Linked DNA regions of Medicago truncatula. The protein of the gene in region 4 binds, or shares a complex with, the protein of the main gene of each other region. Links are inferred from orthologs where the notes say so. Each region holds a gene or a part of one and is shown on either strand. Other genes may lie near its edges. The genes, in order: photosynthetic NDH subunit of subcomplex B 4, chloroplastic; photosynthetic NDH subunit of lumenal location 5, chloroplastic; photosynthetic NDH subunit of lumenal location 2, chloroplastic; photosynthetic NDH subunit of lumenal location 4, chloroplastic.

Evidence for each region.
Region 1: photosynthetic NDH subunit of lumenal location 4, chloroplastic (region 4) and photosynthetic NDH subunit of subcomplex B 4, chloroplastic share a complex: the UniProt entries of both Arabidopsis thaliana proteins name them as parts of the chloroplast NDH complex. The link is inferred for Medicago truncatula from reciprocal best matches to the Arabidopsis thaliana genes PnsL4 and PnsB4.
Region 2: photosynthetic NDH subunit of lumenal location 4, chloroplastic (region 4) and photosynthetic NDH subunit of lumenal location 5, chloroplastic share a complex: the UniProt entries of both Arabidopsis thaliana proteins name them as parts of the chloroplast NDH complex. The link is inferred for Medicago truncatula from reciprocal best matches to the Arabidopsis thaliana genes PnsL4 and Pnsl5.
Region 3: photosynthetic NDH subunit of lumenal location 4, chloroplastic (region 4) and photosynthetic NDH subunit of lumenal location 2, chloroplastic share a complex: the UniProt entries of both Arabidopsis thaliana proteins name them as parts of the chloroplast NDH complex. The link is inferred for Medicago truncatula from reciprocal best matches to the Arabidopsis thaliana genes PnsL4 and PnsL2.

Annotation. Positions count from the first base shown.
Region 1 is NC_053044.1:13,325,559-13,333,092, forward strand, and holds photosynthetic NDH subunit of subcomplex B 4, chloroplastic, read left to right. Parts: upstream 1-4,658; 5' UTR 4,659-4,810; coding exon 4,811-4,894; intron 4,895-4,997; coding exon 4,998-5,042; intron 5,043-5,421; coding exon 5,422-5,581; intron 5,582-5,815; coding exon 5,816-5,871; intron 5,872-5,969; coding exon 5,970-6,041; intron 6,042-6,732; coding exon 6,733-6,864; 3' UTR 6,865-7,034; downstream 7,035-7,534. UniProt on the Arabidopsis thaliana protein: NDH shuttles electrons from NAD(P)H:plastoquinone, via FMN and iron-sulfur (Fe-S) centers, to quinones in the photosynthetic chain and possibly in a chloroplast respiratory chain.
Region 2 is NC_053042.1:56,646,701-56,654,609, forward strand, and holds the start of photosynthetic NDH subunit of lumenal location 5, chloroplastic, read right to left. Parts: upstream 3,012-7,909; 5' UTR 2,901-3,011; coding exon 2,847-2,900; intron 2,754-2,846; coding exon 2,367-2,753; intron 1-2,366. UniProt on the Arabidopsis thaliana protein: NDH shuttles electrons from NAD(P)H:plastoquinone, via FMN and iron-sulfur (Fe-S) centers, to quinones in the photosynthetic chain and possibly in a chloroplast respiratory chain.
Region 3 is NC_053046.1:18,325,836-18,332,933, forward strand, and holds photosynthetic NDH subunit of lumenal location 2, chloroplastic, read right to left. Parts: upstream 2,865-7,098; 5' UTR 2,766-2,864; coding exon 2,283-2,765; intron 749-2,282; coding exon 650-748; 3' UTR 516-649; downstream 1-515. Other genes in the region: casparian strip membrane protein 1, read left to right, coding at 1-88. UniProt on the Arabidopsis thaliana protein: NDH shuttles electrons from NAD(P)H:plastoquinone, via FMN and iron-sulfur (Fe-S) centers, to quinones in the photosynthetic chain and possibly in a chloroplast respiratory chain.
Region 4 is NC_053049.1:42,222,026-42,228,885, reverse strand, and holds photosynthetic NDH subunit of lumenal location 4, chloroplastic, read right to left. Parts: upstream 3,009-6,860; 5' UTR 2,917-3,008; coding exon 2,581-2,916; intron 2,489-2,580; coding exon 2,396-2,488; intron 2,311-2,395; coding exon 2,250-2,310; intron 2,167-2,249; coding exon 2,098-2,166; intron 1,691-2,097; coding exon of another isoform or gene 1,683-1,690; exon of another isoform or gene 1,580-1,682; intron 1,566-1,579; coding exon 1,483-1,565; 3' UTR 1,433-1,482; intron 661-1,432; 3' UTR 348-660; downstream 1-347. UniProt on the Arabidopsis thaliana protein: NDH shuttles electrons from NAD(P)H:plastoquinone, via FMN and iron-sulfur (Fe-S) centers, to quinones in the photosynthetic chain and possibly in a chloroplast respiratory chain.

The DNA.
Region 1 (7,534 bases), on a different chromosome or scaffold from region 4:
GAAAGAGAAAAAAAATGGTTTTAAATGCTCTTGTTAAGTTTTGTTCAAAAAAAAAAATGCTCTTGTTAAGTATTGATACATTCTCCAATATCATAAATGCAAAGTGGAATATATTAAATTATGAGTGATAAAAGTAATATTAATTAGAGTTATATTTAAAAAAAAAGTAATTCATATGTTGTTTGAAAAGTGAAATGGGTCAATATTTTTAGAGTTGTGCTAAGCAGTGCCCTAAGAAAAATGGTTAAAGAATCCATTAGTAGAAGTTTTGTCTTGGAGATGCAAGTTTTTACTTTTATCTTGGTAATAATTACAAAGTTATTTATTTTAGTACTTTAACCAATGCCCCAAGTACACTAGTTAACATTCTCCATTTTTTTCAATTTTCGCGAGACACACATAATGGACGAAACCCACGTAATAGACGAAACACACGAGACAGGTTTTCTTGGCGAGACTTGCGTGCAAGTTATCATCCCTGTCAACATTATCATTATCTGCATGCAATAAATAAATTGAGGGTCTTGTATATAAATACTGCTGAAGCCAATCATAATTGATACTCACCTCTTTCTTTGAACCTTACCGCTCCCATGGATTCAATTATTAACCATAAGAATGAGAATGAGAATAGCAAGCCTCTTCATGTTGCAATGCTCCCTTGGCTAGCTATGGGACACATATACCCTTATTTTGAATTGGCCAAAATTCTTGCTCAAAAGGGTCACACTGTCACCTTAATAACCTCTCCTAAAAACATTGATCAAATTCCCAAAACACCAAAAGCAATTCAGCCATTCATCAATTTGGTAAAATTACCCTTACCCCACATAGAACAACTAGAAGGTGCAGAGAGCACTCAAAATGTTCCATTAAACAAGACTGGTTACCTTAAGTTGGCTTATGACGGTCTCCAAGTCGATGTTACTGAGATACTCAAAACATCAAAGTCTGATTGGGTTTTCTATGATTGTGTAGCTGATTGGTTACCGTCGATAGCCAAAAGCCTGAATATTCCTTGTGCCCATTACAGCATTGTTCCAGCTTGGAACATATGTTTCTTTAATCCACCAAAGGATCAAATCAACATAGACAGGTATAGCCCACCAAAGTGGGTTCCTTTCGAAACAACCATTCATTGAAGGTGAAAAACACAAGAAAGGGGGGTTGAATTGTGTTTTCTTTTTCTCTTAAAAAATACTTCTTCTGATAAAACTTCAGAAGCAGTTTGAGTGCTTCTGATGAAATGATCAGAGTCAGATTGCAGCGGAAAAGAACAGAGCAGAGAAAAGAAAGACAAAGACACAAGCAGTTATCCTGGTTCCTTCCACAACACGGAAGTAGTCCAGTCCCCCTTGCACTTCCAAGGAGATTTCACTATAATCACAAAGATTACAACTGCTCAATACTTTCTAAGTATGAGACTTCACAAAAATGCTCAAGCACACACGCAAGAGTCTTCCAATGCTCAAGCACTAAGCAAGAGACTTCTAATGCTCAAGCACGCAGGCAAGAGACTTCTAATCAAACAAAAATACAGAGGATTGAGTTTGACTTGAACACTTGATATACAATCAGTGGTGTTCACAATACAATACAGTAAAGACTCTAGACTTTGAATTTCTAAGATGTATCAAATCAGTGCAGAAATTCAGTGTGCTTTGTAGAATCAAATTGACAGAGTTTTGGCGCTTTTGAACTTATGTATCTCTATTTTATCTTCAAGTCTTCACTCCTTTATATAGAGGTGTGAAAGAGACGTTGAGATAATCAGCACGTCTAAAGAGTCGTTTGAAATCCTTTGATCATCCACCAGTAATCCTTTGCCTGATTTGGGTGTAGTCCTTTGAAGAATAAGCTTTAAATTCATTCCCATCTTGAACGTACAACTTCTGCAGGCATGGCTGTTGTCTTGTCTTGTAGCGTAGACAGAAAACAGAGTAGTGGAGGTAGTGGTTGTACACTTGTACTTTGTCAACTCTATTAACGAGAGACAAGTGCTCAGTGCTATCCATATATCCGTTGATACCTCCCTTTCAAGTCTTCGTTCTTCTTGGATAAGACTGAATTGAGAATCAGCTACTTTGAATCTTCAGTTTGATTAAAGGATCAAACGTAGCTTCTGGTGAAGATATTGCTTCTGATGAAAACTTTTGCTTCTGATGACGTCATTACTTCAGAAGCACTTCAGCTTCAGGAGCAGTTTTCTTCAGATGCTCAGAATTTCTTTTTCTTTTCATTGTTCTTCCAAGACCTATTGAAATAACTTGAGTAGCCTTTGGTCCTGTACACTTGAACAATTATTAGTAATAACCAATTGACAATTTTTAATACCTTGTTATCATCAAAACTTAATAAGGTTCATTGTGAAACACATTTTGTTCCAACATTCATGTCAAACCTTATGAGATGAAGAGAATAATTTCATCTGTCGACAACAATTCTGGAAAAATATTGGCTCGTTGTAATCTAGACAAAGTATAATCAGATTGTGACATTTTTCTTATCAGAAGCTGTAAAGAACTTGAAGGTGAATGGTTAGATTATATTTCTAGCCAATATAAGGTTCGTGTGGTTCCAGTTGGATTGCTTCCACCATCCATGCAGATAAGAGAAGACGAAAGGAAGAAAACAACCTTGATTGGATGAAAATCAAGGCATGGTTGGATTCAAAAGAATCGTCTTCTGTTGTTTACATTGGATTTGGGAGCGAGACGAAAATAAGTCAACAAGATCTAATTGAGTTAGCTCATGGAATTGAGCTTTCTAGGTTGCCTTTCTTTTGGGCTTTGAAAAATCTTAAAGAGGGTACACTTGAATTACCTAAAGAATTTGAGGAAAGAACAAAAGAACGTGGAATTGTTTGGAAAACATGGGCACCACAACTTAAGATCTTAGCACATGGATCAATCGGTGGATGTATGAGTCACTGTGGTTCAGGTTCAGTCATTGAGAAGCTTCATTTTGGGCATGCTCTTGTGACATTGCCTTATTTAATTGACCAATGTTTGTTCTCAAGAGTACTAGAAGAAAAGAAAGTGGCTATTGAGGTACCAAGGAGTGAGAAAGACGGGTCCTTTACTAGGGACTCAGTAGCCAAAACATTGAGGTTGGTAATAATGGATGAGGAAGGAAGTACGTACAGAAACAATGCCAAAGATATGGGAAAGGTTTTCAGTTCAAAAGATCTTCACAATCAATACATTGAAGATTTTATTGTTGCTCTTCAAAAGTATAGAGTTCATTCCAATGATTAAGCTTATCAGAAATGCCAGCAACACACACTTTCTAACATACTCTTTTTGATTGGTCAAAATTCACACAAGACCCACTAAATTTATATGGGATCCACATGATTTGGTGGAACCCATGTGAATTTTAACCAATCAAAGAGAGTGTGTTAGAAAGTGTGTGTTGTTAGCATTTCTCTTAAGTTTATTTTCATGCGTTTCCCTTCTAGTTGTCTTTTTTATTTATCTTATTGCAATAATAGTCCATGAGATGTTGATGTCAATTCATCTCCAAGAGTTTGACTTTGTAATTTCATGAGATAAAGTTCAAATAGTCTCTTGTTAAATCATCGTTGTTACCACCATTAATAATTAATAAAAAATTATCTTTTCGCCATAATTTTTAAAATTTCAAAAGATAGTTACAAAAAGTTTCATTTTGTTACTTCGAAAACCTTCTTTAAAAGAAATTAGTTGTTTGCTGGCTTCTTGCTTTTTCTATTTCACATCAGAATAGGTTAATTTGAGTTTATAATAAATTTCCGTTGCCGAAGAAAAAGGGTGGTTAATGTGTCTTTATAATAAAGAAATGTCTTGTACAAATTCTCATATACACTTGATATCTACCGTGGATACGGTACTCTACTTATCACTTTATTATTTGGTAAATGTTTTGGTACACTTGTTTAATCCGTTCATCAGTTCTCTCATCTATGAATCCTAGAAGTACATCAGAATACACTCCATCTCGATAGTTCTATAAACGGGAAGTCTTATCTAGTCTACCTTACCAAGGATGAAAGAAGTGTATTTTTTATTTAACTCCGTGAAGTTACTAATGTTTTCCTAATTACCGTAATCGTTATCTTAGTTACTTCCTGATTCGGGTAGGTTTTCACCAATATTAGGTTTGTCACCTTCCTAAGTACCGTTATTTTAGGGTCGATTCACATTCAGAAAAACTAAATGAGGTTGCACCTAGTGTTAGGTTTGTGTTTTGATGATGTTTATTAGGCTAGCTAGATTCTAGTTTCTTTTGATGATGTTTTATTGATCATATTAGTTAATGATTAGAATATGTTAAAGCACCTAGCAATCCTTGCTCCACTGTGTCATATGTGTCTTATATGTTATGTTTCTTGTTGTGTGGTAAAAATTCTTTTTTTTGTGTGGCAAAACCATTTTTCTAAGCCTTTGATTCGATTCAAAATAGTTTGAATCGTATCATTTTTCTCTCTGACCATGACTTCTTAATGATATATTATAAATAGGCAGCATAGGATGAAGGTATCTTGTCTTTCAAACTCACCTATCTCTTGGCGTAAAAAAAAAAAAAAAACTTATATTTAAAGTTGTGAACAAGTTTTGACCCGAAATTGAAAGGATTGTATGTATAAATGAGGACACGTAGGTCATTTTGATTAATCATTTTATAAAATACATGCTCAAATCCAATTTGTTGGAAGCATGCACATACTTGAAGGGTGGTTCTTCATTCTACTCTTATCCACTCTATCCCATATTATATCATAAGGACCATAATTTCAACCCCTTTTCACTTGCACTTTTGGTTCAAAACCATGGCAGAAGCTATCATTGGTTTCACCGTTTTCAATTCATATATTCATAGCTCATGTCTTCAAACAAAACGATTTTCAAGATTGGTAAAGTTGTGTTTATTATTTTCATTCCATTTTATCTCTTTAGATTCACTTGATAGTTCCAAAGCTCTGAAAAATGAAGGTTTATATCTTTCTTTTTTTGCAGCCTAGGCACCCTTCAAATTCTACCCTCTTTCACAGGTCATTGCAGGTACTTAAAATTAAGTTATTGAAGAAATATTAGAAATAGAAAATTATGAAATTTGTCTCTAAATCTTTATTAAGTATTAGAGTAGAAAAATTAGTGATTAATTTCATTTTATCCATCTTTAATTTCCATGGATAACTACCGAGTCTGGATAGCGCAATTGGATTGAATTTTCAAAGGACTAGAAGAAGTTTAAGTGTTGGAGTTCAAACTTTGGACTTTGGAAAAAGAGAAAGTAGTAACAACTACTAACTAATATAGTAATATTTGTCTATAAAAAAAAATTCATTTGAATAAAATACAAGTTTTCTGCAAGATTTTATGGGTGTAGCAAAACTATTTTCAGTTTATATTATAATGGTCCTTTGTATTTGTTTATAAGGTGTTAGATGGAAAGATAAAAAGAGCATCTATGTGCAAAGTGAATGGTTTACCAGATATTCCACTGATGGCAATTCTAGTAGAACAATTGGAAGGACAAAGAGATCTTATAACCGAGAAAACAATTTGGCATCTTAGTGATCAGCAAATAAAGAATGTTTGTAAGTGTTACATAAAATCCGGTTACATTTATAAGCAAAAAAACGACTTTTAAGATTCATTGAATACCTAATGTATATGGTCTATATATAGGTCAGATACATTAAATATTCAATGAATCTAAAAAATTGTATTTTGTTTATAAATGCGACCAGAAGAAGTATATTATTAAGTTTTGTTGTTTCTCTTATGATTTTAAATTTGATGGTTTATTGGTACCTTTTAATCCTTTGTAGACGCTTGGTACATAATGTTCACTGTTTGGGGAGTCTTATTCTTTGGTTCCATGAAGGTAAAACACTTTTCCTTGTATTTATGTGTATAGATATAGATTAATTTGTTAGTGTATGATTGTGAAATGAAATTTTTAACTTGTTTAACATGATTTAGGACCCATATTACGATTCAGAAACATATAGGGGAGATGGAGGAGATGGTACTGGAAACTGGATATATGAGAAGGTAATTATTTCTTTTTCATGACTTTGTTATTGATGTAATACTAGAAGCCTCAAATAGGGGAGCACAAATCAAACCTTGTAGATAGACTAGAGTAAGAGGAGTGTTATGAACGGCCTCATTTAACGGTCTCTCTGACATTTACTCTGTTATCGGATGAAATTCACATGGATACTACCTACACTTTAATAATGAATTTTGTGTAAAGTAGTAAGACATGCATGAATTTCTTTCATTAAAAAAGTGAGTGTTAGAGAAGGTATTAAAAAGAAAGTGTTGTTAGCATTTTTTGTAGAGTAAAGTTAGTAACACATCAGTGGCCCAATAGCATGGCAAAGATGTTAATTCATATTTTAAATTGAGTTGTTAAATAAAACATTTTAATTGATCCATAAAAAAATAACATTTTAATTGAGTAAACAATCATTTTGGTTTATTAACATGTGAGATGATGTCAAAATAGTTTTTAAATCTATCGAAATTACAAACAAATTTTTAAAGGTCATGTTAACAAGTGTCCAAAATGTATATGATAAGGTCAACAACATCGTAACAAGAATTCTAGCTCAATATACAAAAATATCCAAATCGTTTGATCAAACACCGAAACCGCAACTCTCTTACTTAATAATTGTTCCACATCCATGAAAGAAATCTTGCATTTTAAATTGTGTTATTTTTTATGGTTATGCAGCAAGAGGTCATGGAAGCAGAGGCAAGAGAAGCTCTATGGCGCGAGGAGTTGATTGAGGAAATAGAACAAAAAGTTGGAGGGTTGAGAGAAATTGAAGAAGCAGCAAAGAAGGAAGAGGAACTTGTTAAATGATTTTCTACAATAATGCATGCATTTTACTCCATCAATTAACCAAGTGATACCTCATTATTATGTATATACATACACAAGAATAAATTCTTCTGCTTCAAAATTCAAATGTACTGTTATTAAACTACGGTTTATTTCTTTGAATATGATGTCACAATATAGCCTTGTCTATCCATCAGCAGCTAGAAACAAAAAGCAAAAGAAACAAACAAATAGACAAATTTCGTCAAAAAGCACAAGTAGTGAGCACATACAAACTCGTTTAAAAAAGGGTGTAATAAAAAACAATCACAAATATTGTGATTAGAGGATTAGACAGGTTTGATACTGCATAATTGTTGTTATGTCTGATTTGACTCTTTGTTTTATGTTGCTAAAGGAAAGCCTTATGCTTCCTTTCTTTCTAATGTGTAAACAGGTTCAGGCCTTAATCATGGTTTGTAATTTATTTTTATTGCTTTGATAAAAAAAATAAATTCTAAGGTATCTTGAAGTTTAGGCAAAGTTTGTGTAACCTTTTAAGTTATTTTAAAATAAGTTAATATGAAAAAATATAACATGACATTGAATTATCAGATGAGGGAACATACTCTACCAAATTACATGGACACCATGTAAATTTTGTTATGAATTAATTAGATTCCTCCCTAAATTCCTCGAGCTTCCAAGCTTG
Region 2 (7,909 bases), on a different chromosome or scaffold from region 4:
ATCTATTGTTATGTTTCCTTAAAAAAAACGATCTATTGTTATGTTCTGATATCATTTTCAAAAGCAATGTACAACTTTTTCAAGTCTTTCACGGTGTTTGTTGATAATTCATTGCCTGGACTGAAACATTTTCCATAAATAGCCGCATATTGTAAAGCTAGATATTTTTTAATAAGACTAAAGTTTTAGTGTGGTTAATTGCATAAATAATAATTATTAGTACTAATAAATAAAGAGAAATTTAGGGTGCACAATGGCTCAAATTGTTGAATAACTTAGGTTAAGTAATTGCAACACTCCAAAAAAAAAAAGTAATTGTAACACAACACTCACCTTCAATCTGTTAACATTGTAGGCACTTCTATAGAAGATACTCACATGATGGGGATCCCTTAGGTTAGTTGTATTTAAATTCAACTATGAAGATAATGGAAAGAAAATAAGTTTGAGGTCCGACCATTGTGTTCCATTTAACTTTTTTTTTTTCCAAAACTATATAAGCTCTATTAGTTAACTTTTTCTTTTGAAAGGATTAGTTTAACTTAATTATTATGACAAAAGGAATGATGATTTAATTTTTCCAGAGCATCTTTCATATAAGTAAGTAAGTCACGTTTATTCTTTTTTTGATAGGTCACTTATGCTTATTCTCTTTTCCTATTTTTAATTCTTCAATATTTTTTCCCTATTGCAGACAAAGAAGAAAGTGCCATTGTTGCTACAAAACTCAGGGTGGAGCTAATCTCAAATGAAGCTTAATGTGTATTTTTTCTTTTGTGACATTGTGCATACAAATTGTAAATAACAGTGGCGTGGTAAAGTTTTATCTCAGAACATTTTGCACCACCCGGTTTAGGTGAAAAGTTTTATCTCAGAACTCTACTAAATTATGTCAAGGGTCCTACATCTTTCGAAGACATAAAAACGGTGGATAACGTCAAATACTTTAGTTTCAAAGACACTTGCTTTGCGATGGGACTGTTGGACGATGACAGAGAATTCATTGACGCCATAATAGAGGCAAGTTTGTGGGGTACGGGCACCTACTTGTGAAGACTTTTTGCAGCATTGACGGTTTCTGATCAGCTGTACAGACCAGAGGTTGTTTGGAATAGCACTTCGCCTAATCTAATTGATGACAATTTGCACAAACAAAGACGTGTGCTTGGTGCGCCTGGTAAGTCTGATTGTTAAATCTGTATAGTTTTTTTTAAGGTTAAATTTACTTATTTGTCTGGATAGCTAATCTGAATACATCACTTATTTGTTAATGGCCGGTTAATATAGAGAGCGAAACTTATGCATCAGCATTGTACTACATGCTTAATTCATATTGCAAACCTTTGTGTAGGAAGATTAGATACTAGCCAGCCTGAATTACACTATATTTCATGACTAATATACTCAAAGAAATTTGTAGTTTGTTGGTGTATAGTGGAAAATAACGTTAACTATACATGACTCAATATTAAGAGTATATAATTATATTAGTTTACTTAAGGCAGGGAACTCAAATTTTGTCAATTATATTAGCTTAATTCATATTGTCAATTGAACATGGCATTGTCAAGAGTTACTTCAAGAGAAGGTTTGAAGATTTTAATATCTAATGACGATGGTGAAGACGATTGTGTAACATCTAATGTGGTTTATAGAGAGGTTTTTCGTAATCTTTCTTAATTTATGTCATTTGTATGATTGAACATATTTATAGTCTTTTTATTTGTATGAATGATGTAATACACTATCTTTATTACCGTACTAATGACTTATTGCTATGAAGGCTTATACAAATTTCTATATTATTGTCGGTTTCTACAATCTATATGACCCGTGCGCCGCACGGATCGGCGTTCTAGTAGATGTTAATGGCTATTTTTTCTATACCAAAGGGTCTCAACAATTCCAACAATGGGACCCGGGTGGATGTTCTCTTGTTCGAGGGCAAGGTTTATGTGACTTTAGCAGTTACTTGAAAGTCACTAGTACTACTACTCTTCAACATTATTATCTTGGCTTCAACCTTGAGGACAAGGTTGATTTTAAAGGGGATGGTAATGTAATGAGTCTTAGAGTTAGAAGGGGCATTATGGGAAATAGGAATATGGACCCTTATAAATATGAGAAAAGCCAAGGAAATAAGTATGAAATGATTGATGTAACTTCTTCTCCTTCTCTCTAATTCTCTAGTCCCTCACTTCTATTTTTCTTATTCTTATTACATTCCTTTGTTACCTATTACTCTCTATGAGAGATTCCAATTACTAAGTTGTAATGCTTAATTGAGTGAATCAATGAAATTTCATTTACATTTTTATTCCAATTAAGTAGAATCATTACAGAGATAGCGATAGAGAGATACTTACATTTCCTTTATCAAAGTCTCCTCCTTGAATCATGAAGTCCTTGATGACGCGATGGAAGGTGGAGGACTTGTAGCCAAAGCCCTTCTCACCGGTGGAAAGGGCACGGAAGTTCTCAACAGTTTGTGGGACATCATCACCAAAGAGTCCTATCACAATCCTTCCAACCAGCTTCCCAACTGGATTTCCAATACTAACATCAAAGAATACTTTGTGAGTCACTTTTGACTGTACTATTACTTTCTCCTCTGAACTACTACCACTTTCCACTGCCCTCACTTTCACTTGTCGTCGTACTGCTACTGCTAGTTTCACACCCCCACCTCGGGACCTAACCACCCCGACGGAAATACTTCTTCTAGGGTTAGGGTTCAGAGCAACAACATTTGACTGACCACCCAACCAAGAAAATCAATCATTTAATAAAAATGAATTCAACACCAATTAAATTTAAATTCAAGTAATAAAAAAAATATATATTACCAGTGAGAAAAGTGGCGGTGTTGTAGTAACATTGAATGCAGCAGCAGCAGCCATCGTTTGGTTAAACACCGAAGAAGAAGGAAGGAAGGATATCGCGCATGCGTTAAAATTGGGGAGGATGCGACCAATCTATATCTATTCAACTCAAACCCATGGATGGATTCACCACCATTTTTTGTGGGGGCCACCACATTATAATTAAAACTAAAATAGAATTGGTTTAGATTTCATTTGCTAGAGATTGCATTTAATTTAATTAAAATTTAGACTAAGATGTATCAAATTTGATTTGATTTAATTATTTTATTAGGTTAATAAGGGGGAAAAAATAAACTACAACAAAATTCGATATTTCATTTATACAGTGGCTTAAATATGCAAACCGTCTCTGTAATTTTGCGCATTTTTGCAATTCGTCCATGTATCTTTTTTTGTTTCAAAACTCTCCTTGTAAGCTTTTTTCGTTTTGCAAATGATTCTTCCCGTTAACTCCCGTTACAAAAACGGCGAGGTGGCAGGCGGAGACATACGTGGCTTAGTGTGACTTGACAAAAGGAGGGTTACGTGTCAAAAGAGTTGGTGAGTCATCCTGTCTTTTGATTTCCCCCCTATTTATTGAAAAAAAATGCTCTCATTTTCCATTTCGTCCTTGTGAAATAGGGTTTCAGAGAAGTTAGAGAGTCATGGTGTAAGAACAGAGACGAAGGTGAGTTGACGGTGAATCACGGCAACGAAGTGTAATCAACAGTTAGCGAAGGTTTTTGAAGGTGATCGACGGTAGAAGAAGCGGTTTTTGGCTTGCGATTGAGGTAGAACATTCTAACCTATCCTCTTATTTTTTTCTTCTTCTTATCTTTTGTTTGTTGTTTGAATCAAAAAATCTTTGAATGCTAGTTTATAATGATGTAAAAGAGTAGAATGGATGTCGTTATATGTTGTTTGATGTTGTTTTATACTTGTTTTTGTGTTGTTGTTGCATGTGGTTTTGGTAGAGACGAAGATGAAGGTTTATTAACAAAGTTTATGTTTCTAAAATTTGACAGGGATGAGTGTGTCAATTGTATTTCACCATGGGGGTGAATTTGTTACGGACTATATTTTGTATTACACTGGGGGTCAAGAACACGTAGTAGTAATGGGATTGATAGGGATAGGTGGTGTTACTTCGAAGCGACTGGTATACTAAAAGAGTTAGGTTATGATGATCACCTTAAGTATCATTTATGGTGGTATGTTATTGAAGATGATAAATACAAAAGGATTGTTGATGATAATGACACTGATATTGTTGGTGATTATGTTATTGAGAACAAACGTGTGGCTCATTTATATGTTGAACATTCAGTTATAGGGATGGTAGGTTCACATGTGGGGTAGAGTTCTATGGATGTGGGGCAGAGTTCTATGGACTTGGACATGTCAGGGGGAGTTGGAGGTCAAGAAGGTCATGTAGTTGAATAAGGCACAATGAATGAAGCTGATGGTGTATGTGATGATGAAGAAATGAGTGGTGATGGTTCTGATGACTATATGGGAAGTAGTGAAGATGAAGCTGCTGGAGTAAGATTGGATGATAGTGAAGAGGAAAAAGCTATGGGCATGAATGATGGGTTTTTAGTTGAAGATGATGAGACTCCTCCTATAGTTGGTAATGCAGTGGTAGATAAATTTGAAGTAGATAAAATAGTCACAAGGAAGGGGGGTTTGAATTGTGACCCTTTAAAATTAAACCTGTCACTTAAAAGTTATTCTCAAGTTGAAAACTTGGAATGGTTAAGTTAACAGACAGACTTCAGAACGTTCTGAAGTGTTAGTATAAAAACAATTTAAATAATTAAATGTGTTTGTGTGTGTTGTGTTTACTGTAAGTAAATAGTAAAGAGAAGAGAAGAAGAACACACAGAAATTTATAGTGGTTCCCCCAATGTGGGTTAGTCCACTCCTCACAGTTTTGTGAGATTTTCCATTATGATGCTTGAGATAACTTCTCAAATTCTGCACCTTACAACCTTGTTCACCTGAACAATTACAACAATTGTATTCTCTTAGCCTCAGCAGACTTACACCTTTCTTGCTAAGTTACCCACTTAGACTTTACACCTTTCTGCTCAAACTAACACTTTAGTACCCCTAAAGCTAGATGAGACTTTGTTTACAATTTGTATGGAGTTTGAATGATATAGATCAAACAAGAGATGAATAGAGGGAGATATTTATCTTTAAAAAGATAAGAGAAATATTGATTTACACTTTTGAAGACTTCTTGGAATCTTTGTGATGATCAATGTTTTTGCTAAAGCTTCAAACACTCTTATGTTGTTTTCTTGTATGCTTTGCAAATGTGTGTGTTATGCTGAGGTCTTGATCTCTATTTATAGAGTTCTTGAGCCTTTGTAGCCGTTGGAGAGTGACCAATGGTCTTATGCCACGTGTCCTGGGACCCACCAACTTTCACTTGAAATTCTGGGCAAACTGAAATACTTCAGAATGTTGTTGTGTTCTTGAGAATACTTCAGAATGTTGTTGTGTTCTTGAAAATACTTCAGAATGTTGTTGTGTTCTTGAGAATACTTCAGAATGTTGTTGTGTTCTTCATGAATTTCTGGGTTGTACTTAAAGATTTGCTTTACACGACTTCAGAATGTTGTTAGATCAGATCTTCTTTGAAATATGTCTAGGAGCGCGTGCAGGATCTCATAAAGTGGTGCTGTCACTTTGTAACGCCCTCTTTAATTATTTGATTATTTTTATAGAGTTTAGAGTTTATTTAGATGATTTATGTGATTTAAATGATTATATGATGTGTTGTGATTTATTAAGTGGCTTATTTTATTATTTAATAGAATAAGATTTGAAAATAAAATAAATATTGAGATGAAGGGTTGTTTTGAGAATTTAGAGAGTTTTGTGGGAAAATGAGGAAATAAGATAAAATAGATGGGAAAAGATAAATAGGAGAAAATAGGTTTAGAAAAGTTTTCACGTACAACCAGTTTTGGAGAAAAGGGAGAACAAGAGGAGAGAAGAACCAAGAGAGAGCTGCTGATCGATTTTCTTAAGGTAAGAGTGAGACTAACATTCAATCTTCTTAAGCCTTTAATTCTGATGATTAGATTTAACATGTTGTAGGGTTAGTTTTTGAAAATTGGAAATTAGGGTTAAGAGTGATAATTGAGGATTAGATGATGGAAACTTGTAGAATTGATGTAGAAAGTGTGTACAGACCTCAAATAATTCATAGTGTGATGTTTAGAATCAGTTTTAAGCTTAGAACCATGTGAATTGATGCATTTTCGTGAAAATCTGCATTCTGCCCGAGCTGACATTCATCGCTCGCCCTGGCGAGGGATGATCCTCGCCACACGAGTGATGAACTTCATCGCTCGCCTCGCGAGTGACCCTTAGTTACTCGCCATAGCGAGCAGATCACTCGCCATAGCGAGTTGACCAGTGAGGAAACCTGATTTTGTGATTCAACTCCTTTAGTCGAGCTTTAGATGATTTTGAGTGCCTGAACATGTATAATAATAATTAGGCAAGTCTTTAGATTGAAATTGAACACGGGGAAGTTAAAAATGAGATTTTTGGGTGAAAAATGTCAAGTTCCCGAGAGCACCCAGTTTCAGTTCGCTAAGGCGAGTAGCTTACTCGCCAAGGCGAGTAGCCATTTTCCTGAACTCGCCATAGCGAGTAGAGTGGCTCGCCTCGCGAGCTGCAGAGAGACATAAAACCTTGTATAGGTTTTTGCGATCTTTGTCGCACGAGATGTTATGAGTTGATCCTTGGGGTAGGAATGAAGGTTGATTATAATATTACTGATGTTCAGTGACTCTGATATAATATGATTTGATGTTGTTAGTAATGTGATGTAGTTGTATATGCATTATGTGAATTATATAAGATGTTTAAGTTGATGTTGATTATTATTTGGTATTGTTATATCTTGAGATGTTATGTGCTGCCTATGTTGTTGTTGTATATTAATTAAGCTGCATGATGATGAGATAAAATCGCAAGTGCACGGTCTTACCGAAGTAGTATGAAAAGAGTATCGTTCCGACAGGGAGTAGTTTAATTCAATTAACCTTTGATGATGATTAGAGGAGAAACGAGTTGTAAGTTGGGGGTTTCAAACGATTGAAAGATAATAATATAAAAGGAGCCTTGGGATCATTGGTTCATCTAAATAACAAGTCCTTCACAAACCAAACTATAAGCTTATAACTTTATGTTAGACCTAATTTCTCAAGACAGTTTCTCTTTTGTTCCTCTAGCAACCAAGCCTATTTCGCTGACTTGATTACTCTTAGATTTTGGTTCCTCTAACAACCAAGCCTATTTCGCTGACTTGATCGTTATTAGTTCCCTTGAAGATCGAAACTATGTGTCTCAAAGATTGCAAAGACTATTTCGCTGCCTTTGCAATCCTTGTCTAAATTCACTTGTTCGAATATCAAAGCTCCACTTTCGTTTTATGAATTGATATTTGAGATAATGGATAAACGATTATCAAACCCTTTCGTTTGCACAGTTTGATAATGGTTGATCCATGTTAAAACGGTGAATTTAGATAAGAAATTAGGGTTACATAAGATTAAGGCTTAGAGCTTGGCTTGATCAGGATTATGTCATTTAGACTTATCCAACAATCCCAAGACAAAGAGAAGTCTACTCACTCATGTTCATCGTAGACATGGGGAAGAAGAGAGAAAGCATAAAAGTAAATGACAAGAAAATAAAGGAAAAGAAAAGAACTTTTATTAGAAAGACAATCGTCACTTATTGAATTCCAAGAAAAGATGAATATTTGTGATGGATAGCTACTCTATTTATAGCATACATTCGACTTAAAATCTAAGCAATTACATTACTAGAATGTTCCACAAGAAACTGCGGGCTAAAATAGAGTAGCTTAAAATCTAAGCAAAAGCAGCAAAAGTGACTCTGGAGGGTGGCATGGCCGTGCCAATGCTAGCACGGGCCATGCCAGACTTCTGACTTTGGGGGAGACATATTTTTGTCTCTGAATCTTCGTATTTTCGTACTAAATCAGCTCAAAGTCC
Region 3 (7,098 bases), on a different chromosome or scaffold from region 4:
TTCTGGTTCTCTTATTGGCTCTTATATTGCCGTTGCTCTCTTTATAATAATAATCCTCCTATCTCAATCAGCTATCTCTCGAAACTGATGATTTGGTCTATGAGTTTATCGCGTGTTCTATTCAGATTATAGAATCTGAAATGTTTCAACGTGTTTTTGGAGGTCTGTATGAGGTGTTTATGCTTTTTGAATTCTATATTCCGAACTGCATAGAACGCACGAGAAACTCATAAGATGGAAAAAAAAAGTCTTATGAAAATCGTGATCGTGTGTATTCCCCTATAGTCTGTGTGCATTTGTACCAAAGTGTGTTTCTCTAACTTGTTTAGGCTTGTGTTGGATACTTTGTTGGTGTACACAATTTAAATTTCTTTTAATAGTACAAGAGGTTTGAAAGTTTGACTTTGTAAGTTCAAATTCAATGGATAAAATTCAGATTTCCCATCAATGTTTGTAAAATAGTCATTAGCGTCAAAATTCTCGATTTAAAACTTTTAATAATGTTCAATTTAAAATACTTGAAGTTGCACATTCTAAACCTTTTATATATGTTCAATTGAAAATCCAAAATTCAAAAAAATTAAATGTCAAGATGTGTTTTATACAATTAGAATTCCAAATACCAATACCCTGCAGCTTCAACTTTGCACTAAGCTAACTGAGCCACAAGTTCATCTATTGATTTCAATGTCTTCTCGTAGTATAGGTATGATTCATATACCTTTGGTGTCCGAACATAACGATCCATCTGAAGATGGAAAAAAAGAACCATAAATCAGATGCTAGACATTAGCAATCATTAGTTCATTACATTTATCATATAATAACAATGTTGATTTTTGCATGACAAAATTAATCTTTAAATGCATATTCCATTTATTAAAATGATGATAGCCATGAGTGTAACCCACTTTTATACCGATAGCATCCATTAAAAACCATTGTTTTATGATATCATTTCATTGTTGTAATTGTATTTTAAAATTAAGTTTAAATCACATTTTGATCGAACCGTAATTTTAGTCCCCAATTTTTTTATGGCAAATGTTAGCTTGTTAGTTGTTATTTTCGTACTTTCTCATTTGCTCAAGATTCAAACCTAGATCTTTCACCCTTACATCTTAACACATTTAATACCTTAGTTCAACCAAGCAAGCTATTCATCCCTCATCCCCTTTTTCTAATAGAACAATTTTGATCCATCGTTTTAAAAATTTGACCAACCCATCATTTCGACCATCCAACTTAATGAGGTATAATAAGTTAGATGGTGATCTGACATGAAAACAAATGCCTATCTCTTGAGAGTCTTAAAAAAATGATGTTAAATTAAGTGGTGATCAAATATATAGAGGAAAAAGAAGATCAATTGAGATGGTACAAGGGATTGAGAGTAAACAATTTAGTGTCATGGTATCATTAAATTTTGGATGGTTAAATTATAAGTTGGTCAAAATTTCAGAAATGGGGACCAAAATCACGGAATTAAAAACGACAGACCAAAATTATGGTTTGGCCAAAATAAAAAGATCAAAATAGCATTTAAACCTAAAATTAACTATGCAACATGGAAAAATAGAGTTCATAGTGCATGATAATGTAAAACTAATTTATATATTTGTTTCTTAGGATAGCTAATTTATACAAACATGTCAAATTCATGTTTCATCACTCAAATTAATCCATGAAATTGACAATTTGAGTCGATTAGTTGAATTTTTTAAAATTAATCATGAAATTGAAAATTTGAATCAGATGAGCTAATTTGGACGAAATGAAATTTTAATTTTCAAAATATTTTGGAATTTCATCAATTTCAAAGGCTAAATTATCTTATTTTATGACTATAATTTTAAAAAGGTTTAATAGTAGTTTTAACCCCTAATTTTTTCAAAGTTGTAATTTTGGCCCTCTAAGAAAAAAAAACTACAAAATCACTCCCTAAGTTTTGCATCTCTGGCAGTTTTGACCCCCAAGACCAATTTTGACTCAGTCTACGTTGACGTGGCACCCTAAGTGAGGTGTCACGTGCTATTTTTTTTTTTTTACCAAAAATTGGCCTTGGGGGACCAGAAACTTCTACGGTTGCAAAACTTAGGGGCAGTTATATAGGCTTTTTCTTAGGGGGCCAAAATCGCAACTCATGAAAGTTAGGTGGCGAAAACTGCTATTAAGCCTTTTAAAGCACACATCAGTATAGCAGAAGTTGTATATCTATTCATAGACTTATTCAATTCATTCATCAAATTAACAAAACACCACTAAAAATTAATCATACATACCTCAGTCAAATTATCAACCAACTCATTAGCAGTTTTAACATACTCCTTGCGACGATTTTCAGGCAAAGTAGTGATAGCATTTCTCAAATCCTGTTCAAGATAATTCTGTTTCAATCTTATATAAAACATAACATACCTCCAAGACAAAGTTTCCAACATTTCCCTAAGATTATGTAACCCTTCAGCTGTTTGTTTTATCCTTAAAACTGCATCTTCAGGGGACAATCCTGGCATAAAAAAATGTTCTTTCATAAAAGAACGTGTGCCCCAATTCTGTGCTAGTGCTAGTGGTGTTGTTGTAACATGTACTACTCCAACCATTGATGTTGCTAGAAATGTTGAAACTAAATTTCTTCTATTTGTTACATTTTGTTTAGAAGATAAAGAGTTGTTAACGTTGTTGTTGATGTTGTTTGAAGTGTTTTTGTGTTTGGTTTTGATGTGAGCATGGAGTAGTGTAGTGGCATGAGTGAAGCTGGACATGGTATTTTTTGTGTGTGGATATTTTTGGTGTATGAAGGATTTAGGTATGGTGTGAATTTTGAATGGTGTATTTGGACTATGGAAATTTTTGGGCAGGTTTTTATTGGCTGACCGTGTTGCCCGGTTTATACACTTATGCCTTGAGATTATGCCACGTGGAAACTTTATTATCCATTTGAGTTGAGAAAACTCCAAGTCAATCATTGTTGGAAGATTTAAGCATTTTCTTTTTGGTGAAAAAAATGTAAATTAAATATTGGATCAATTAAGTTTTTAGTCTTATAAACATCTGCAGTTTTTTTAATCTCTGTAAAAATAAATTATATTTTTTGGTCTTTACAAAGTTTTCCATTAATGTTTTTAGTTCCTGTTAAATTAAAATTTGTTTAATTATGTTTAAAATTTTAAATTTTTTAATAATTTTTTACATACTTGTTTAAAACATCATAAAACGTTCCGCTGCAATAAGTTAGGTCAAAATTTTATTTTTAGGTCTAAATTTTTGTTAGTTTTATCTTTAATTTTTGGCATTTTAAAAAATTATATTTAATTCATTACATGTTAAAAAATTCTAATTTTTTATAAAATATATTATTATAATGTTCTTAACATGTCTGTTAAAAATCATTTAAAAATAAAAAAGTTTAAGTATAATTAAACAAATTTTAATTTAACAGGGACCAACACATACTTTTAGTCCTTGTAAAATTAAAATTTGCTTAATTATGCTTAAACTTTTAAATTTTTAACATATTTTTTACATACTTATTTAGAACATTATACAAAGTTCCTCCGCAAAAAAGTAACTCAAAATTTTATTATTTGGTCCAAATTTTCATTAATATAATCTTGAAAATTTGGCTTTTAGAAAAATTCATATTTAATTCATACATGTTAAAAACCTAATCGATTTTATGAGTGTCTTACGATGTTATGAACATGTCTATAAAAAATCTTTCAAAAATTTAGAAGTTTAAGCATAATTAAACAAATTTTAATTTAACAAGGATTAAAAACACTAACGGAAAATTTTGTATGGACTGAAAAATGTGATTTGTTTTTATAGGGACTAAAAACAAAACTGCAGATATTCATAGGGACCAAAAACTTAATTAACTCTTATATATGTATGGTAGTGGCTTTGATCCATTTGCAGGTTCATAGAATTTTCACTATTAGTCCTCGTGAGCATAGTTCAGTTTGGCAGAAACATGCATTGTTATATGCAGAGGTTGTATAAGTGAGAAAAATGTGAAATGTGATACGGGAAGAGAGAGAGATTTCACACATGTGAGTTCTTTGTAGTGAAGCGTATGTGTAAACGTGTTTTCCCCTCAGGTTTTTGACCACCGATGGAAAACACCCAATTATAATTAAAGATAAACTTCATCAATATTACAAAACTGCCATCGTGTTTCATTTTTCCCTTCAGGTATATAGTTCCACCGATGTAAACACTCTTCAATAATGATCTCTCCCCTCAGCTAATTTCTCAGCCGATGTGAAAATGCCACCGTGTTGCATTTCACATCAGGTATTTGACCACTGATGTAGATATCCTGTTGTTTTCTAGTAGCGGAACCCCGGACGCCCTACTTATTCACTTTGAAAAATGTGAATTCTAGCCATTAATCTACTTAAAAAAAAAAAAAAAAAAATCACTATCATTAACCATCACAATACATGAATATCGTTTTTAAATACCTTAGCCTCTAAATGCAATTTTCATTTTTATAAAGAAGAAATTTGGTAACTTAGTTGATATGTCAATTATATGTAGAGCTGTCAAAAATGGGTCGGGCTCATGGGCCGACCCATTGGCCCATATTTTTGGGTCGGGTCGGGCCTAAAAAACTAACAAAAAATGCACTCAGGCTTTTTCAGCCCAAGCCCATTTGGGCCGTACAAAAGTTGGGCCAGGCCGGGCTGGCACATCGGGCTTTGGGCCGGCCCATTAGCCCATATTTCATTTTATTTTTGTTAAAAAACAACATATTTTTTAAAAAAATTATCAACTAATTTAAAATTTATTAACAAAAAAAATATTTAAATAAATAAACTTAATAAATATGGATGAATTTAGCTTACAGTTTTAAAATTTTAAAGTTTATAAATTATTAATTTGATTTAATTGAAAGAATAATCTAGAGTTTAATTATTATTCAATGTTAATGTAAAAATTATTTATATTTTTATGTCCATCCAATCATATTTTAGCAAAAAAATAATGGTGAGTAACTAATACATAAGAAAATACATAAAAAAAAATGAATAAATTTTAAAAATAAAACATAAACGGGCCAGGCCGGGCCGGACTCTAGAATTCACTGCCCAATCATAAACGGGTCGGGCCGGGCTGACCCATTTATATAGTCGGACCTCTCGGGCCCGAGTCGGGCTGGGTCGGGCCGGCCCATTTGACAACTCTAATTATATGTATCTAAAATATACATTAAATATGTATATACTATTTAATTTTGACTTTTACGTTTCAAAACACTTGATGTTAATTATGAAATTTGGAAAAGAAGCATTATACATGTCTTTTAATTTGATTTTTTTTTTTTTATATTTAAGACATTTTTTTTGCTAAGCAAGTGTTTATGTTTAGGGACATAAGAAATATCTATTTATTGTATTGATTAGTTAGTCAATTCATGTTTCCTCTCTCAAATTCTTCTTTTTTTTTTTAAAAAAAAAATTCAAAAATGGAATTTTATTATCAACCAACTTTACTTTCTCTATACAAGGAATGTTAGAGAGAAACAAAGAGAAGAATGAAATTACATCATAAAACGGTTACAAACACCAAAAGCAAGGGTAAGGAAATTACAACCATAATAAAGGGTTGATATACCACATGTGGTAACTAAAAGTAAAGTTGATGTGAATAGTATGATCTTTTTGTCAAGTTGATGTACCTTTAGCCATCCATAAGAATATGCCTTAATTTTGTTAAGCAGATGGCAAATAGTATCGTCTTTATTCTTTAATATTTTTTTTATTTCGTTCTTTCCAAATAATTCAAATAGAGAAATATCAAAATAAGATTACATTTGGATTTCGATAATCCACCCAAAACACTAAATTGTGTCAGGTGTTTCGAGATATGGTGTGGAACTACTATGACGAGGCCTAACCAATCATAAGTAGTGATCCAAACATGACGGAATTAGTCATAACGAAGAAAAATATGAGTCGCGTCGTCCATATTACCATAATTTCCCACACAAGATACGAGCAGTAGTTTTGTTGGGAGGCGGTTGCGAAGAAGACGCAACACAAAGAAGTTAACTTTCAAAGGAACATCTCGATGCCAAAATACATGATTATCATTTGCAATGTGTTACGATTTGCTGCTATTAAAAAACTATAATCATTATTGATTGTATTTTATTTTATGTACACTCCAAAGTCTCTCCCCATCCTAGATGCCTCATCTCAAACACAGTTGTCATTTTATATCAAAATCCTCAAAAAGGCGGTTGAACCTATCTTTCAAAACCCATCCTCTCAACTAAGGATCCCACCAAAACAAAATTGAAGTTCGGTCACCTGCCTCACGCACAGAATTATCACCTATCAAACTTCCCACTCCTGCTCCACCACCCTGACTAATATTAATTAAATTACTCCACCAAACTGATCCCTCTTCCTCATCCAGAGGAAACATACAACCAATCTCTCCAAATTTTGCTAAAAGAACTCTATGTAACGCCATAGTCGTTATTTTATTTAATTTGGAATTATTTAGAGTCTTTTATGTGATTTTAAATAATATTTGTGATTTTAGGTGGTGTGTATTATTTTATTATATGATTTATTTTAATATAATTAGAATAATATGAGAAATAGAGTTATTTTGGAGTGTGGGGAGTTAATTAAGAATTAATAGAATTAAGGGGAGTTTAATGAAATAAAGGGGAGTTAAGTTTTGGGAGTTAAGAAAAAGAGAAGTCAGAAAACGTTTTATACGTAAAACAAGTTTTGGGAGAGAAGAACCAAGAACAAGTAGAGCCAAGATCATCCGTGTGTTGTGCGATTTTCTGAATTAAGGTAAGGGTGAGACTATCTCTCAATAATCATAATATATAATTTCTGAAAATTGATCTAATTGAATTGTTCTTGAAAATAAAAATTGGGAATTAGGGTTGATGCTGATTTTGAAAGGAATGGTGTAAGAATCATGTTTAATGTGTTTAGTTTTCATGTTCAGAATGATTTCTTAATCTATAATGTTGCTGTGATCAGAATTTGAGGGAGATTAGAATTGGTTGGGAAAATTGGAGAGGTTTTGTATGATTGCTAGAATGATCTGAATTGTTGTTGTTAA
Region 4 (6,860 bases):
CGTTTTCCCTATTCCTTTCCCAGATCCTAACAAAGTGTAAAGGCACATGTAACTCAGGGCAGTGCAGACTAGAGGATTCAACAGAATTGTTCTTGAGCGGTATAGTTTAGAGGATTCACCAGAATTTTGCCTACCAAGTTGAACAATACTCTAAAGAAATTTTGCATACAATTTAGGATATCATTAGGAACATATTTCTAATGATAAACCCAAAGAATGGTTGATCAAGTCAACATAGCTGCCAAGAAATTGTACATTTTAACTATTCATTTGTTAACCATCCAAAATCATGATTCATCTTTGGCATTTCATTGCAGACAGCACATAGAGGAAAAAGATCAAATGGATTAAAGATACAAGTAATAGGGGATAACATTTATCATATAAAGAATTAATTAATTCATCATTCAGAGTGTACTATTGAAAATTACATTTACAATAAAGATACAAAAAGTTGCATCATGTTACCAGACATGTCTAATATATATCACCGCACCAGGGTTGGATCCTCTTTACTCTTAAAAGGGGTATTCTATTCAGGTGAATCATGTCGGACTGCACTAAACAGGAATAGTAATTTGAGAGAGCTGGAACCAGGAAGGAGAATCTGCCTAACAAGTCGATCCACACTCACCAGCAAAAAAAGTCCATTTCATTACTCTAAAACAATTAAAAATAACCAGTCAAAAAAATTATTAAAAATAATGATTATCCCTATTTTTAGATAATCAAGATCAGAGAATGCATGGATACCAGCATATCATTATAGTTTTAAAGGCATTTTATTATTCCATAGAAAAATGTTTTAGTTTATAAATATGCAAGTCTACTTTTATCTGAGTAGATTATCTGACGCAACTTTATAAAAGATCGATTAGATTATACTCCCTCCGTCCCTATATGTAAGCACCCTTTTATTAGAGGCAAAAGGTGCTTACATATATGGACGGAGGGAGTAAACAAAACCTCATTCATCTTAAATATCACTCGGTCGTCAAACAGTATAGTGTTGTAAATTTGATGAATAAGTCAAGCCACTGGGATAAGGTTAATAATGATGAATTTAACTAGTTTGCATCTGAGTTCAAACATCATTTTGTATATTGCACAAGAAAAATGGTCACAAAGGACCCTGTGTCAAAATTTTAAGTAGCATATGCTTTAACCATGATCATGTGTGACAGCTAATTTTAATGTTGCATACTGTGTTTTCTCATGAAGGTTCTGCATATACCTAGATATGCATAAAAGCTTCCTGATCATGGTCAATATTGGAAGCATTTTCTTACAATTATGATAATGTGAAAAGTAAACAAACATGTTTAGCTGGAGAGCAAACAGAAAGTAAGCTGGATAAAACAATCTGAGTGCTGGGTAGTATTTGTCTATCTAATCTAAGAATAAAATATTCTCAAAAGATCAGGAAACTCACCTAATCCACGTGCGGTTCATATACGTATACGTATTCGATCAATTTTGTCTTCATTGACTTCGATTGCCCGAATAAAGACCAACAAATTTAATATCATACAGAAGAGTTGCATTACCCGGTATATTGCAGTCACCTATTGAATCAGCGACAAAACTGTCAAAATCTAACATATTTAATGATAATGATTCTCTTCTTCTGATAATAATAAGATTGCATTCAATATCTTCCCAGCCTAATAAAATCCATGGTCTTATACTCCTTTCCATTGAGAAAAACACACAGACAAGCACACAAAAACAAATTCAGCTGTGTAAGTAGAAAAAAGTGTTTTCAAGTGTAGATCGTGGAATATAGCAGTTTGTTCAAACTCTATTAAGTTACAGAGTTTCATAGCTACTATTTGACATCACTTTGTTCTAAACAGCGTATCACGAACCAATAGCAATTTATTTAAATTCCATAGCACTGTAGCTACTTTTTTTACAGTGGTAGAAAATATACCGGGGCACATACGCGCAATGCATATGACCAAATACACAATTAATGATTCATTTCTTCATCCACGTGTCTACTAGATTTTTGAGTTTCAGGTTTGATTAAAGTAGTTATCCATGTTTAGTAGCAAATTACATAATAACACAGTAATAATTAATAATGAATGAGACCTGAGAAACAGCCTGCAGGTTCAGGACCATACGCTAACAATGGAGGAATCGTGAGTTTGCGTTTCCCACCTAAGTAAAAATAGTAAATAAATTTAGAAAGTGTCATATACTATGAACAATGAAACTTAAACACTTCAAATTAAATTTAATACCTATCCGCATTGGAGGTACTCCTTCACCCCCTAAAATTCCCTGATCCAATCCCCTTATTACCTGAAAATCCCATTGAACCTTATAATTACAAACTCATAAAAAATACATAGCCAAATCAATTTAACTGTAAGAAAAACTTATCCACCTTGCCAACACCAATACGCATAGTTAAAGGCCTAGCACGTTTATAACTACTATCAAATACTATTCCATCGGCGAACCTAGCTGTATAGTGAATCTGCAATGTATAATAATAACAATATCAATCGTTAATTAACTAATTAAATTTTTGCATATAGAAAATGAGTAAAAGAGTAATAAACAGCTTACATCAATAAGCTCTCCTAAAGGAGCTTCATCACCAAAACCCTCAACATAATCACAGTAACCAAGCCCAGATTTAACATAATTAAGCTCACACATTGGTTCTCCCACAGTAGCATAGTATTCAATTCTCGTTGCATCTGCATCCAACGCTGTTAACCCCATTACCCATGCTGCTACAATTCCAATACCAATTCCCACTAACGGCTTCTTTTCGTTACCGTTACGTGCAGAACATAACACTTTATCGGATACTTTATAACTTTTACCATTCAATTTCATACAAGAAGGAAAACGGTTATGAACGGTTGTGCCTGAACAGAGTGAGAATGAGAGTGCCATTTTCTATCTTAGTGTGTGTGTGTATAGTTCTCTAAGGATATATCAAAGACTGATGATATGAGTAACTCCATTTGGCATACCATCCTTTCTACACCATGTGGCTCAAATTAATCTATAATAATCAATATATATCAGCTCAAAAACACAAATAAAAAATTTCTGGGAAGTTTCATCACTCAAAAAAAAAATCTGCAAGTTTATAGAGACAAAATTACATTTTAGTCCCTTAACTTAATTTAACATAACAATTTGGCATTTAATTTATTTTTTTCATTTCAATTTTGTCATTTTTGTTCTTTGCATATGAATTTTTCAAACTTCAAATCTAATATTCATATGCAAAACACCATATATTTGAAAATTGAGAGGTCATAAGAAAATAAAAATATGAATTTTTGAAACTTGAAAATCCATATGCAAATGACTTAAAATGACAAAATTGAAATGAAAAAAAAGATAAAAGATCAAACTATCATTCGAAATTAAGTTAAGGGATTAAAAGTATAATTTTACCTTTCTCTTTCCACCTTATCTCCAAAACCAATATAAATTGAAAATCATAAAAAACTCTATTTGCTTCGAATATTGGACAATTTTTTGACTCAACCATATAGTTTAGTTTAGCATGCGGATTTTATTTTATCAACCAAATTAAACTAAACTACAATGTATAATAAGAAAAACATGTCATTGTTACTTAACCCAAACTCAATCTCTTTCAACTTCGCATAATATTAGAGAATGATTTTCAAATGAGATATAACTTGTCAAATAAGAGCAATATAACTTATTGAAATTGTTAAAAAAGACATTTAAGTTAAATTTGTTTATAGTATTTGTAGGCTTTAGAAGGCTCCTTATTGATATATGAAAAAAATATAGACACGTGTGTAAATTAAAAAAATTAGTTACACATATTGATATATGACTAAAAATATATGCTAAAAAATGTTTAGATGAGATTATACGAGTCTTTTCTAACTTAACTAAAGTCATGTGTTCGAATATAATCTCAGACACTCAGCAGCATTTAAACACTTATAAAAAGTTTATTGTTTATTTAGGTCCACAAACACTTATAAAAAGCATTTAAGATAATATTGATATTAATATATAAATAAAAAAATAGAGTAGATAAGAGCTTAGTTTTTTCCATAAAAAAAATAGCTTAATTTTTCTCCTTAAAAAAAAGAGCTTCAATTTTTCTCGTTTCATTTTAATAGGTAAAAATAAAATAGTAAGATATGAATATCTTTCGCATGCTTACATCTCTTAAGATTCAAAAACGTTTAAATCTATAACAACCGCGTAACAAACTCACACGCTTACAATACTCTCTTCTAACCGTTTAATTTCCCCGCGCGCGCGTATATAAATACTTCACCCTGCAATTCATCTTCATTCGATTCAATTCACACTCGAATTCACTCTCTTGAGACTTGAAACCTCTGAATCTTCTTAACCACCATGGAAAACTCTTCAACCTTTTCCTCTATGCGATTCTCTATGCTCTTCTTCGCAATCTTCTTCACCGCCATGCTTTCCGGTGACGAGGTCACCGCCACTGAAGGAATCGAAGCTTCATTCCCACCGCCACCTCCGCACGATCTTCAAGAACATTCGTTCTTCTCTCAAACTGCATTACTTCCACCGATCTTGTCTCATCTCGGTTTTCACGAGCTTGCAACCGCCGCTCCGTCGCTCTCCGACGCTGCAACCACCACTTCCCCTGCTTGGACCGGTCCTTTCACCATTTTCGCTCCCTCTGATGCATCGCTTCGCACTTGCTTTTCTTGCTCTGTTCCGAATCTCCTTCGTGAACACATAGTTCCAGGTATATTCACCATCGAATATCTTCGGCGACTTGCTTTTGGCACCAAGATTGAGACTCTCAGTCCCGGCCGTTGCGTAACCGTCACTTCCGAGTCGATTCATCAGAACAACACTTCCGGCAGTGCTCCAAAAGTCTTCATCGGAGGCGTTGAGATTACTCAACCGGATCTATTCAACAACGGAATGGTTGTTGTTCACGGCCTTCAAGGTTTCGCCTCTAAGCTTTCTCCGTTTTCTTGCGACGTTGAGAGAATGAGTTCTCTCTCCTTTCCGTTTCATCCTGATCACCGTTCCGGTGCTCATGTTCACACTCCCGGCGCCACCGTGCTCCCTGCTATTATGCGCCTCATGCTACGAGATGCAATGGTAAGGCTCCGTAATAACGGTTTCAGCATCCTCTCCCTTGCTATGAAGGTAAAATACGCAGAGCTCATAACTCTCAACAACATGACTATTTTCGCTGTTGATGATCTTTCTATATTCTCCGGTTCTCAATCGTATATCAGCAATGTGCGATTCCATATCATACCGAATCATTACTTGTCAATCGCCGATCTTGAGAAGCTTCCGGTTGGAACTGCTCTGCCTACATTGGAGCGAGGTCAGCCGCTTCTGATCACTACTTCCGGCGGAGGAGTGACATCAGCGCCGATGAGGATTAACTATGTGAGAGTTAAGGTTGCTGACGTCATCCGCAATGTGAAGATTGTTGTGCACAGCGTGTATTTGCCTTTTCCGCATATCAATCCTATTGCGGCTGCTTATGATACTATCTTAGGAGGTGAAGGAGCATCGGAAGGAGCGGGTGTCGGAGCCAGAGCTGCTACTGTATCAGATTCTGCTGGTCAGGCCACGGAAGAAACCTGCTCTGCTCCTGATGGACGTGGTGGTTGTGCTGCTGATGTCACTACTGCAGCAGGTGTGTCTCCCATGCCTCAGGTCAAGCCAATGGTTGAGATTGAAGATCACCATGGCCTGTGAGTGCGATGCTTCGATGATGATGATGAAGATTGCGGTTTAGTTCTTTCTCTGCTGAAGTGAATCTCTATGAAATTTGTAGTTAATAAGTTTACACTGTTGTCCATCTAATGTAGCTAATTCACACGGTTCCTTAGTTCTTTTTAGTTTGTGCTGCACTTCTTTGTCTCATGAAGTGAAACTTTGAATTTGTAGTTAATTCACACTATTATCCAACTACACTATGTTGCTTAAATAGTTCTTCAATAAAACAATTTGTGGATTTAGTCTTTACAGATTTTCTTGACATTATCTTGTTTATCAATTCATATTTTCTGCTTAGCACGTTCTTGTTGTCTTCCAAGTTGCTAGAGTGATATTTAGGGTCCAGAGATAATTTTTGGGTTAAATGATTTAGTAACAAGTCAAATTGAACGAGTCCATTTGAATTTATTTACTGAAGTGAAATAAATGTGCAATGAATCCTTCTAAATATTCGTTTGATTATGCAAAGGTTAATGATCAGTACATTTTGAAAGGTATTTAATGGGAGGAAGGAATCCTTCTAACTGATTAATTCAAGTTGGCTAAATACCGAACTTGAATAATGAGCTATGTACTTTAATAATGAGATACAATATAATTTTTCTCTCTGAAGTTACTTAAATAGGATTGCTTGACCAGTGGTAACACTTTTTAGGCAAATTCACTTGTTCATTGTAACCCAGATCTCAATTTTTGAAGAACGAAGAAGAAGAACGCGATTGATTGGAGTTCGTTTTGATTTTGATGAATTAGTCTTGATTTGTACCAAAAACGTTCATGAATTTGTTTTGGAATTCGTTCTTCAGGATTTGCATAGTTAAATTTTTTTTTTTTGAGTTTTGATGATGAAGGTGATGAATGTTGCTGGGTTTATTGATGAAGATGATGAATGTTGTTGGGTTTGATGATGAACACGATGAATGTTAACGTTTTTTCCACAAGATTTATCAGAATGGATTCAATTGATAGACGGAGGTAATTTAAAGGATTAAATTGGGGTGAAAATTAATAAGAGGACCAAATTAAAATTTCATAATTATTTAAAAGACCATTTATATAATTAAGCCATAAATCTATGTTGATCTAAAAAACTTTCCTAGATTACAAGG